2 linked regions of the Macaca fascicularis genome follow. The protein of the gene in region 1 interacts with the protein of each later gene in a pairwise test. Links are inferred from orthologs where the notes say so. Each region holds a gene or a part of one and is shown on either strand. Other genes may lie near its edges.

Region 1 (6,377 bases):
AGTTGCTGAGTACTTACTATGTGCTAAGTGTTGAATCTGCACCATCTTATAAAATCTTCACAAGAGTTTCTCAAGCCAAATGGCCCTCAGTAGAATCTGCATGGGCTACTTGCTAGCTGTGTGGCCTTGAACAAGTGGCTTACCCTCTCTGAGCTTTAAGTTACCTCAACTACAAAATAGAAACAGTAACAGAATCTATCCCATAAAGTTGTGTTAAATGATAAAACTTATGTTAAGAGCTTAGTGCCTAGGACATACAGAATATTCAGTAACTGGTGACTGTTGGTACTCTCTTCATTTTACTTATGGAGAAACTGAGGCTCAGGGAGATGGAGACAGAGTTTCACTCGTGCTGCCCAGGCTGGAGTGCAATGGTGTGATCTTGGCTCACCACAACCTGACTCCCGGATTCAAGCGATTCTCCTGCCTCAGCCTCCCGAGTAGCTGGTATTACAGGTATGCGCCACCACGCCCAGATAATTTTGTACTTTTAGCAGAGACGAGGTTTCTCCGTGTTGGTCAGGCTGGTCTGGAACTCCCAACCTCAGGTGATCCACCTGCCTCGGGCTCCAAAGTACTGGGATTACAGGTGTGAGCCACTGTGCCCGGTGGACCCACTCTTGAATGTCTTAGCTTAGGGAAGCTGACAGTGGAGCAAGCAGCTCATCTACAGCAGTGGATGTCCCCAAGTCCACTGGTATCTCTGCTTTGGGATGTATTTTGTCCTCACCTATGGGGTATATCTGGAGCTCTGAAAACAGACTTAGCACCAGATACTGAAGGTTTGCAAGAGAGCGACACAGGAGGTGCCAAGAAGCTCTTCTCTTTCCCATGCCAGTCCATTTATAGTTCTTCCTTGTTCCTTCACCCTTCCCCTGTTCCCCAACCTCAGCTGGTCATTGGAGCACCATCTCTCAGACCAAGGCAACAGTCGGCAGTGTAGGATCTGCCCTCTGTTTCTCTGTTGTGTTTTAGCTGTTTCTCTTTTAGCTGTGCGACCTTCAGCAAATTAACATTTTTGCTTCCATTCAGTTTCTTCATTTCCCTTATTATTTTCACCCCTATTATTGTTATGATTGCATTGTTACAATTATTATAGGCACTCTATGGAAGAGTAATTACAAACAGAAATGAAGACGATGTTGATAAATTAAGGTGCCTGAGTATCACAGGTGATAGCATTAAGAAGCTGAAGCTGGGCCGGGCGCGGTGGCTCAAGCCTGTAATCCCAGCACTTTCAGAGGCCGAGGCTGGTGAACCATGAGGTCAGGAAATCAAGACCACCCTGGCTACGGTAAAACCCTGTCTCTACTAAAAATACAAAAAAATTAGCCGGGTGTGGTGGCGGGTGCCTGTAGTCTCAACTATTTGGGAGGCTGAGGCGGGAGAATGGCGTAAACTCAGGAGGCGGAGCTTGCAGTGAGCCGAGATTGTGCCACTGTACTCCAGCCTGGGTGACAGAGCAAGACTCTGTCAAAAAAAAAAAAAAAAAAAAAAAAAAAAAAGAAGAAGAAGCTGAAGCTAAGACTACCTTTAGGCAATAACTAGTACATCTTTAGGACTCTACAGGACCTTTCTTTTTTTTTTTTTTTTTTTTTTTTTGAGACAGAGTCTCGCTCTGTCGCCCAGGCTGGAGTGCAGTGGCCGGATCTCAGCTCACTGCAAGCTCCGCCTCCTGGGTTCAGGCCATTCTCCCGCCTCAGCCTCCCGAGTAGCTGGGACCACAGGCGCCCGCCACCTCGCCCGGCTAATTTTTTGTATTTTTTTTTTTTAGTAGAGACGGGGTTTCACCGTGTTAGCCAGGATGGTCTCGATCTCCTGACCTTGTGATCCGCCCGTCTCGGCCTCCCAAAGTGCTGGGATTACAGGCTTGAGCCACCGCGCCCGGCCTCTACAGGACCTTTCTGCATCAATATCTGATTTTTTGCAATAGCACCATGAGTTGGTCATTATTAGAGGGCTCACTTTTAACCTGATTTTTTAAATTAGAAAATAAAACTCAGGCAGAAGGGGGGCTTGCCAAAGGTCACACAGATAATAAACAAATGGCAGGACCAGGATTTAAACTCAGGACTGTCTGATTCCAGAGGCCATATTATTTCTACTGCCCCAAGAGGCTTCCCTGCCATGGATCCATTGGTAATTTATGAAGCAGGAATTCTGTACCAGGCACTGTGCTAGGCTCTGGGCTCATTAAGAAAGTGACTATATGATTTTTTTTTTTTTTTGAGACAGAGTCTGGCTGGCTCTGTTGCCCAGGCTGGAGTGCAGTGGCATGATCTTGGCTCACTGCAACCACTGCTTCCTGGATTCAACCGATTCTCCTTCCTCAGCTTCCCAAGTAGCTGGAATTACAGGCATGTGCCACCACGTCCGGCTAATTTTTGTATTTTTAGTAGAGACGAGGTTTCACTGTGTTGGTCAGGCTAGTCTCAAACTCCTGACCTCAAGTGATCCGCCCACCTTGGCCTCCCAAAGTGCTGGGATTACAGGAATGAGCCACCACAGCCGGCCAGAAGGTGGCTATATGAATTTGATTGATACCTGGGCATCTTTATTAGTGTATCTGCCTCCCCATGGGGCTCAGTGGGAGGGATGCTGGTTTCCAGGGATCAGGCAGGCGAATAGACAAGTGGCACCACCACCACCTTTACCTGTTCCAAAGTCGATGGCTCTCAGGGCATCTGCTATGTGCTCTAAATTCAAAGTAAAGAAGTCCATGTTCTCAAAGCCCTGCTCTGTCTTCCCCAGCTGGCAGCCCTTGGAAGCTTCCACAATGCTGTGGGGGAGACAGAAAGAGAGGCAGGATGAGATCTCTGGGGCTCAGTGCAGGAAGGAGAGGGCACATGCCTTGCACATGCCCAGGGCTTCTACCCAGAGGCTCCCCTGGAGGGATGGGGTATTTCCTCTCCAATCTTAAGCACAGTGAGTGGTCCAAAAAGTCAGGGATGCAAAGGGTCAGGGAAGCCAGCCTAGAGTTAGACCCTCCCAGCAGACCTAATGCCCAGGACGAGGCTTCCTGGACAGAGGTCCTGGTGGGAACTAGGGGCCTGGATCATAGCCTCTGGGGAGACACTGACCTTTTGATGAGTTGCTTGGCAGTCTGCAGGGGGAGACAGAACAAAGGATTAGGACCGCAGAAGAGGTAACCCGAGGAAATCAGCAAAACCAGTGACTGGACATTTGGTGCCATTCCCTAGCACAGTTGTGACCTGCTCCCCACCCCAAACTGAGCAGAATTTGGAACTTTTCCCTCTGTCTGTGGTCTGTACAGGTCTTGGTCATCACCCTAGGACCCATTGTCTTGGCAGGAAGCTTGGATTCTAGGGGTATCAATCCAAAAACTCCTAAACCCTGAACTCCCCAATCCTAACCACCTTTTCATACCTAATGTCTAGCACAAAGCCTGGCCCACAGGAGAAGCCTAGAACATTTTTATTGAACTGAACTATGAAGTCTTATAACTGAGGCTTTTCTGTCCTCCCCAACAAGCTCTTTGAGGACAGGGCTGTGTCTGGTTTATCTCCTTGTATTCCACCTCAGTGCCTGGCCTACAGTAGGGGCTCAATTAATAGTCCGTAGATGGGACACTGTATTTTGCAGCTTACAAAGTCATTTCATAAACATCCTCTTATTTGATCATCATAAAATCAGTAATAGGAAGGTGGGGGGTGTTACATGCCCATTTGACAGATGAGGAAACTGAGGCTCACAGAGGTTTAAATGACTTTTCCAAGGGTCCATGGGTGGTCAGTGGAGAAGCATAACTGGAACCTTAGAGCTGTCGAGTTGAACTGACCCCACCCAGACCCTTCTAGTCCTGCTCACCAAGAGGAAGGTGGCTCCCCCAGGCTCGTCCAGGGACTGGATGGCCGTCTCCACCAGCTTTGTGGACTTGTCCAGCTGTTCCTGGTACTGCTGGATGAGGGCCTCGATGAAGCTGAGCTTTTCCTCCTGCTCCTGCGTGATCCGCTGCAGCAACTCACTTTTCTTCTCATCCAGGATGGCATACAGCGTGTCAAATTTCTGGCTCAGCTCTTCCTTTACCTGGTGACTGTTCTCCTGAGGACGGAAGTCTTGCAGTCACATTCTGTAGGGTCCTTACTCCCTGTCCGCTACACTCCCTTCCTGGTACAGTAGCAAGGAATCTAAAGCTAGAAGAGATCTCACTACATACATCCCCACACTACAGAAGATGAAACAAAGGCTTAACAAGAAGAAAACACTCATCTGGCCTCACAGCTACTTAGTACACCAGTGATATTTGGAGGCTGATGCCTTGAAAAACAGCTAGCCCCTTCTTCCAAAATAGAGGCTCTAGGGTCACATGACATTACATATTCTTCCTTGTTCCTGCACCCTCCTCCTGTCCCCCAACCTCAGCTGGTCACTGGAGCATCACTTCTCAGACCAATGCAACAGTCACCAACGTGGGATCTGCCCTCTCTTTCTCTTTTTTTTTTTTTTTGAGATGGAGTCTTGCTCTGTCACCCAGGCTGGAGTGCAGTGGTGCGATCTTGGCTCACTGCAACCTCCACCTCCCAGGTTCAAGTGATTCTCCTGCCTCAGCCTTCTGAGTAGCTGGGATTACAGGTGCGCCACCACGCCTGGCTAATTTTTGTATTTTTTAGTAGAGATGGGGTTTCACCATGTTGGCCAGGATGGTCTCGATCTCCTGACCTCATGGTCCCCCCACCTTGGCCTCCCAAAGTGCTGGGATTACAGGCATGAGCACTGCGCCCAGCTCTCCGTTGCCTTTTAGCTGTGTTTCCCTTTTAGCTTTGTGACTTTCAGCAAATGAATGTATTTGCTTCCATTCAGTTTCCTGGGCCTCCCGTTTGTCTCAGATCACACTCTTCCCTCCCTTTCAAGACCAAGACTGGATTCAGGAAGCTTTGCATCATTTGGTCCTAGGAGAGGTGGAAAAACAGCTCGTTTCCTAGCACCCTCCTCAACTGACGCTCCCTTCTATGTTCTTTTCTGTAAAATGGGTGTGACAATAGCATCTCATCAGACCCAGGAGCCTCTCATGGGTTCATGGGTGATCAGAATGTTCCCCTCCTTCCTACCCTTCGCCCGACTCTTGGTCCACTAGCAATTATGACGACCCCTTCCCCTCATCTCATCTCCAGGTCCCTACCCCAGGTGAACATGGAAAATCATGGAAGCTTTTTTCAGGGATAGAAAAGTTCCATTTTGCCCTCAACAGTCTCACTACTCAAAGTGTGGTCCGTGGACCCAGCAGCTTGGGCAAATCCTGGGAACTGGCTAGAAATGCAGCTCTTATGCCTCATTCCAAACTGACTGAATCAGAACCTGAATTTCAACATGATCCCAGGGTGATTTTCATGCACTTTAAAGTTTGGGAAGTGTTGGTCTATAGGAAAGAACGGTGCTCTGAAAACGATTTGTGCTGAATAAACACTGAGAACTATTGATGGGACACTCCCTGAGTTCAGGGACCATGTCTGTCTGGTTCATTCCTCCATCCCCCACATCTCGGGTGGGGCCGGACACACAGCTGTGCTTAAGAAGCATTTGTTGAGAGAGTGGGTGAATGGATTAGTCCCTCCCCTGCCATTCCTGCTTGACCCCCAGGCTCCAGGCCCCAACCTTTAGCCACAACCCATGGGTGAGCCTTCCCCAGAGACCAGGCTGCCCTGGAAAGCTCCAAACCCCCAAGCAGAACTATTCTGTCCCCTCACCTTGGTCACTCGACAGGAGTCCTCCAGCTGAGTGATGATGGTCTGCACACGGTCATTCCCCGCCACCAGCATGGAGATACAGTTATTCAGTTCAATCTAGATGGGGGTGTGGGGGTCAGGAGAGGAGAGATACAAATAGCCTCAAGGCCTACCCACCGGGGCATGGCAGCAACCTGGCTCCCTCCCTCCCCTCTGTGCTAGAAAGAGCCTCCAGCAGGGATCTGGCCCCTCTTTCAGGTACTGCTCAGCTTCAGAGCAGAGGATATTAGAAAGATACTGTATCCCTTATTTAACAGATGAGGCCAACAGCAGGCAAGTGGGCTGCCCAAAACACACAGCAAGGAACTGGCAGAGGAGGGGCTTGCTTCTAAGAAAGAAGGGGAAAAAAAAAGAAATAGAGTTGGAGACGTCTAGAAGACAGAGACCTGGAGAAGAGTGCGGAGTGGGGAAGAGAGAGGATGGAAAGGGGGTGGCTACTGCTGACTGCACGGACAGGGTGGCAGGCCCCCACAGGCCCAAGGCCCCAGCGAAAAGGCTCTGAGCTGCCTCCTGCTGCTGGGGAATGCGAAGTCTAGGAGAAGAGGTGAGAGGCACAGGAAGAGGTATCTGGGGGATGGAGAAGCCGTGGCCCGAGAGGACCCCAGTGGCCTGGCTGGGGCGTCTGACCGCTCC
Region 2 (6,377 bases), on another chromosome or scaffold:
ACCCCGGAGAAGAACCACACATCTTACTCTGAGAGTGGAATGGACCATACCAGAGTTAGCATGATCACTGAGCCAGCTGCGTTCTAAGTGAAGACCAGGAGGCCATATGTTTTAGCATGGACACCAGCCCCTGAAATTCCACATGGCTCCCCAGGAAGGGCCAAAACGAGCCCCTTCTTAAGTGTCTGCTGTCATCTTTCCCCCTGGTCCCCACATTCCAGCAAACACTGGTAGTGTTTCTGATCAGGAACAGAGCATCATGGCCCCTGGTACTATGAGCAGTGACCCTGTTCTCTCAAATGTTGGTCCCCAGGCCCAGGGAACAATGTCAAGCTGCCAGCATCTCAATTACCTAGGAAGCTTTTTAAAAACAAAACAAAACAAAACAAAAAAACAAAACCCACACACACACAATGCCTTCTACTCTACTAAGATATTGTGATTCAGCAGGTTTGGAACAGGTTTGGGAGTCTACATTCTGATGGGAATCAGATATTCACAGGATGCACCATGCCCTTTAGAGAGCTGCGCTGGGACTGGAGCAGGGACAATGGGGACTTGCCTCCGAACCCCCTCATGATTCTCGATTTTGCTGATTATCTTGATGTTCTTTCCCTTCTCTCCCAGGACCTTCCTAACTTCATGGACATCAGCTGCCTTGCGGATGAACGACGCAAACACCATATCGACATCCTGCTCGACCCCAAACTTCAGATCCTGGATGTCCTTTTCCGACACAGCAGGCAAGTCCACAGCAGCCCCAGGAAGGTTCACACCCTTCTTGCTGCCCAAGGAGCCACCATTTTCCACCTCCGTCACCAGGAAGTCAGCACCTGTGTTTTGAAAAGGGGTAAGCAGGGGAGGCAGAGTACCGAGGGCACAGCTCAACAGGAAGCAGGCACCTTTCCCCCAAGCACAGTGAGCTGGGAAGTGGTGCATTATGGGTGCTGGAGCTGTTTTACCAGAGTTGAAACCCTACTACAACTAACTGTGTAATCCTAGGCAAGCCATTTAACCTCTCTGTACCTCACTTTCCACACCCATAAAAAAGGAGAATTAAGATTGTTTTGACTTTGGGAGGCCAAGGCAGGCAGATCACTTGAGGTCAGGAGTTTGAGACCAGCCTGGCCAACATGGTGAAACCCCGTCTCTACTAAAAATACAAAAAAACTAGCCAGGCGTGGTGGCGGGTGCCTGTAAACCCAGCTACTCGGGAGGCTGAGGTAGGAGAATCGCTAGAACCCTGGGGGCAGAGGTTGCAGTGAGCCAAGATTGTGCCACTGCACTCCAGCCTGGGCAACAGAGCGAGACTCTGTCTCAAAAAAGAAATATATGTGTGTATATATATATGTTCCTATGTTCTCCGGAACCAGAAGAATGTAACTATGCTGGATTAAAGCCTGTCTTTGAGGATAAATGAGTTATAAAAGGGATTCCTGAGAACACACAGACTCAATGTCACTGCCAGGCAACCAACCTTCCCATCTTCCTTGTGTCAAGGAACTTTAGAGACAAAAGATGGGTTTTAGACAATTGGATTCCAGCTCCCATACGTACCTTTCTGCTTCACCTGGAGAGAAATAAGCCCATCATCCACGTAGATCTTGCTGCCCACTTCCACCACCTTGCAGATGTTCTTGTAGTCCAGCCATAGGATGTTCTCGTCACACTTTTCCATGTAGGCGTTATCCAGCGTGATTTTGAGAGTGGCTCCCTTCTTCAGCTCCACCTCTGCAGTGCCGCTCTAGGGAGTAAGCAAGAGAGTAAGCCAGAGTCCAAACTGGAGACACCAGTAGCAGCATCACCGCAGAAGCAATGGAAAAGCTCTTTCCTCCAGGGAACAATGCTCAAGTCACCGCTAAAAATAATACAGTTTTTTGCTCTTATTCTCTAACTCAGTACACTTCACAGAAATAATCTAAGAAAATAGAATATAATGTTTCAGTTATGCTACTTAATGATGGGGAAAAAGATACAAAGAGATGGTTCCCCAAGTTAGAAAGCCTAAAGTTTAGGTTTTTAGGGTAAAAAAAGGGTTCCTCTGTGGTACCATTTCCTAGCAAAGTAAATCAAATCAACATTGTTTACAGTGATGAATAAATCCTCATTTGTAGACCTCAACTCCTCTACAGTCCTTCATAGTGCTGGGATGAAACACGGCATCTCAACGCTTTGGAGGACATGTCTCTGGGGCATATTGCCTACTGAGTCTTTCCCTCGCTCTCCACAGAATACTCACGCCCTTGATGAGCCCAGTTCGGATCTCAGGTCCTTTAGTGTCCAGAGCCACAGCAACGGGCCGGTAGAGGATGGGGTCAGAAGCAAAGCTTTCCGTGGCTGTGCGCACATTCTTGATGGTCTCCGCGTGGTACTGGGGAAAAAGAAGGAAGATGACAAGCGTGCTCCCACACTAGGATCCAGCTCAATTTCCCTGCCCAGGAGCCAAAGCTGATCACTCAGGAAAGGCCTGTGGATGTCTTAGAGCTCTATCTCCATCCTCAGAACGATCCATGCACTGAGAACTCCTCTACCTGCTTAATCCAATCTCCTCAGCCTCCACCCACTTCTACTACAGCAGTAATTCACCCTAAGGGCAAATCTTTGAAACGCTGGTGGCAAATTTCAGAATATTGCCACCAAAACCCATTAAGGTATGGGTGCAAACATGTCTCATCATAAAAGCAGCTGTGTTCCCAGGGCTGTTCTTTTTTCCCTAAGACTCATCAAATACCCTCAGCAAATAAAGCTGATAAACAGGGCAAAAAGCCTAGAACTTGTGTTTGGATAAGGCTGATCTGGCAATCAATGTCACATTCTGATATATGTGGTAATGCTGAGAGCTTTTCCTCTATTGATTCCAACTACAACGCAAACTTGAAGTTATTGACTTAAGCTAACAGTGGCCCAAGCTAAACAACTCATTGCTAAGGTCACACAGACCTGATTTTCTCAATCACTTTTTTTTTGGGGGAATACAGTCTCACTGTGCCGTCCAGGCTGGAGTGCAATGGCACAATCTCAGCTCACTGCAAGCTCCGCCTCCCAGGTTCACACCATTCTCCTGCCTCAGTCTGGGACTGCAGGCGCCCACCAGCAGGCCTGGCTAATTTTTTGGATTTTTAGTAGGGACTGGGTTTCACCATGTTATCCAGGATGGTCTCGATCTCCTGACCTTGTGATCCGCCCACCTTGGCCTCCCAAAAGTGCTGGGATTACAGGGGTGAGCCACTGCGCCCAGCCTCAATCACTTTCTAGATTCTGACTGGAGACGGGGAAAGGTGGTCATATGCCTTTCTCTAAATGAACTGCCCTTTATTATTCCTTGCTTGCAACAAATCTGTGCTTCAATCTTTTTTCTTAAGCCTTTCCTCCTTTCCATTTACCATTTTGTTTGTTTAAAAGAGGGACTCAGGCTAAGCACAGTGGCTCATGCCTGTAAACCAAACACTTTGGGAGGCTAAGGTGGGAGGACAGCTTGGGCCCAGGAGTTTGAGATGAGCCTGGGCAACACGGCGAAACCCCATCTCTACAAAAAACACAAAAATTAACTGTGCATGATGGTGGGTGCATGGGGTCCCAGCTACTTGTGAGGCTGAGGTGGGAGGATCACTTATGTCTAGGAGGTCAAGGCTACAGTGAGCCATGATCATACCACTGCACTCTGGCCTGGATACCCTACTATCCAAAGCAACACCCTATCTCAAGAAAAAAGATTTAAAAAAAAAAAAAAAAAAAAAAAAGCTGCAGAGCCAAGATGTCGAAAGAGCTCTAAGACAGCGTGATCAATATGACATTGCTGATAACAAGGGCACCTAATTCAGCACTTTCTGGGCCTTGTCCTTTAACCACCACTGTCCAGGAAAGCGGCACCTGCAAGTAAGCCTGCCTGTTATTCACAGGATGCTGGAGGGAGCTGGAGCCAGAGCTTAGCCTCTAAAGACAATGTTGCCTGAAGCCTGTATCTGAAAATCTTCAGCTTCTTATTCAGGCATACTCCCTAATGAGGGACCGTTGGCTTGTTCGTTTTTTATAGGGTTCCTTATAAATTATTATATTTTCTTGCTTACTGGCTTGTAATAGAAATAGAACAAAATAGAATTGAATAGAGGCTGGGTGCGGTGGCTCACGCCTGTAATCCCAACACTTCGGGAGGCCAAGGCGGGTGGATCATGACATCAAGAGATCAAGACCATCCAGGCCAATATGGTGAAACCCCATCTTGACTTAAAATACAAAAATTAGCTGGGAATGGTGGCGCGCACCTGTAGACCCAGCTACTCGGGAGGCTGAGGCAAGAGAACCACTTGAACCTAGGAGGCAGAAGTTGCGGTGAGCCGAGATCGTGCCACTGCACTCCAGCCTGGGCGACAGAGTGAGATTCTGTCTCTAAAAAAAATAAAAGAATAGAATAGAAATAGTTGTTTTCTTTTAAGGGGATGTGGTACCTTTCCTTCAGAGTTGATGTGAGCAGTAAAAGAATACATTAAGTATTAGGACAAAGTACATGGTAATTATTTAACAAATGTTACCTATTATTATCATCTTATAATGGTAAGACTCAGGTGGACTGAGTTCCACCATAACTGTGGCTTTGTTGGGATGTTATCATGTGGTAAAGAGTTCCACCCATCAATGCTGTCCTGCAGAAGGCTCTATATTTAGCTACATTTAGGTTGTTTAAAAGTCATCCTTAACTCAGGCCGGGCGCAGTGGCTCACGCCTGTAATCCCAGCACTTTGGGAGGCCGAGGTAGGGGGGATCACAAGGTCAGAAGATCGAGACCATCCTGGCTAACACGGTGAAACCCAATCTCTACTAAAAATACAAAAACAAAATTAGCTAGGCGTTGGTGGCAGGCGCCTGTAGTCCCAGCTACTCGGGAGCCTGAGGCAGAGAATGGTGTGAACCCGGGAGGCACAGCTTGCAGTGAGCCGAGATCGTGCCACTGCATTCCAGCCTGGTTGACAGAGTGAGACTCCGTCTTAAAAAAAAAAAAAAGTCGGCCGGGCGCGGTGGCTCAAGCCTGTAATCCCAGCACTTTGGGAGGCCGAGACGGGCGGATCACGAGGTCAGGAGATTGAGAGACGATCCCGGCTAACACGGTGAAACCCCGTCTCTACTAAAAAATACAAAAAAAATAGCCGGGCGAGGTGGCGGGCGCCTGTAGTCCCAGCTACTCGGGAGGCTGAGGCAGGAGAATGGCGTAAACCCGGGAGGCGGAGCTTGCAGTGAGCTGAGATCCGGCCACTGCACTCCAGCCTGGGTGACAGAGTAAGACTCCGTCTCAAAAAAAAAAAAAAAAAAAAAAAGTCAACCTTAACTCTACTTAATCTTAATGTAGAATTTTGTGCTCCTAGAATAAAATCTACTTGGTCATGGATCAAGACATTCCTTTCAATCACTACTGGATTTGGATTATTAAATTTTATTTGTTTTCTGCATCTAAGTGAGACTGGTCTAGCACGCTGTTAGTACCTGCCTGGTTTTGGTACTGTCCTTGTCTGATCTCAGTATCAGAGTATGTTGGTTTCAAAGAACACAGTGGGAAGATTTCTGTATTTCTCTAGGCTCTGGAACAGTTTAACAATGTAACTGAATTTTGAAGGGGAGACAATTCAGCCACTAAAATCGTTTGGACTTAAATGTTCTGAGATGAACCAGATCTTAGCCACTTTTTCAACTTTTTGGCTGGAGTGCAGTGGTGCAATCTCAGTTCACTGCAGCCTCCACCTCCCCAGGTTCTAGCAATTCTCCTGCCTCAGGCTCCTGAGTAGCTGGGACTGCAGGCATGTGCCACCATGCCCCGCCAGTTTTGTATTTTTAGTAGAGACAGGGTTTCACCATGTTGGCCAGGCTGGTCTCGAACTCCTGACCTCAAGTGATCCCTCTTCCTTGGCTTCCCAAAGTGCTGGGATTGCAGGTTGAGCCCAGCCCACTTTTTCAACTTCTTATGGCCACTGGTCTATTCATATTTTCTATCTTTTTGGCATTTAATCTTTTCTTGGAAAATAGCCAGTGTCATCTCTCTCTATAGGAATTAAGTTATAAGTCTTTCTTGACTTTTAAAATCTCCAATGTGTAGGAAATATTCCCTTTTCTATTCATACTCTTATTTGTACATCCTTGCATTCTTCACCTGGCTTCCCAGAACTTTCTATTTTACTATTTTTTACCCACAAATAATCAGCTCTTAGCTTAATTTGTCAAATTTATTTTCATTTCATTGAGCTATAATCTTACAAAATTATTTTTCTTCACCCTTTTTAGGGTTTTCCTCCCCTAGTGTTCTGAGTTAAATATTTATTCCATCTACCTTGAGATCTTTGCTTTCTAAAGTAAGCACACTTCAGTTTTCTTGACTTTGTTCTTAATTTCCA

Evidence for each region.
Region 2: the proteins of TRIM63 (region 1) and PKM interact in a two-hybrid assay, tested with the Homo sapiens proteins (3 studies listed by BioGRID and IntAct). The link is inferred for Macaca fascicularis from reciprocal best matches to the Homo sapiens genes TRIM63 and PKM.

Annotation. Positions count from the first base shown.
Region 1 is NC_088375.1:209,082,874-209,089,250, reverse strand, and holds part of TRIM63 (E3 ubiquitin-protein ligase TRIM63), read right to left. Parts: intron 5,802-6,377; coding exon 5,706-5,801; intron 4,063-5,705; coding exon 3,829-4,062; intron 3,104-3,828; coding exon 3,081-3,103; intron 2,780-3,080; coding exon 2,655-2,779; intron 1-2,654. UniProt on the Homo sapiens protein: E3 ubiquitin ligase. Mediates the ubiquitination and subsequent proteasomal degradation of CKM, GMEB1 and HIBADH.
Region 2 is NC_088381.1:49,041,582-49,047,958, forward strand, and holds part of PKM (pyruvate kinase PKM), read right to left. Parts: intron 2,372-6,377; coding exon 2,240-2,371; intron 1,745-2,239; coding exon 1,558-1,744; intron 834-1,557; coding exon 563-833; intron 1-562. UniProt on the Homo sapiens protein: Catalyzes the final rate-limiting step of glycolysis by mediating the transfer of a phosphoryl group from phosphoenolpyruvate (PEP) to ADP, generating ATP.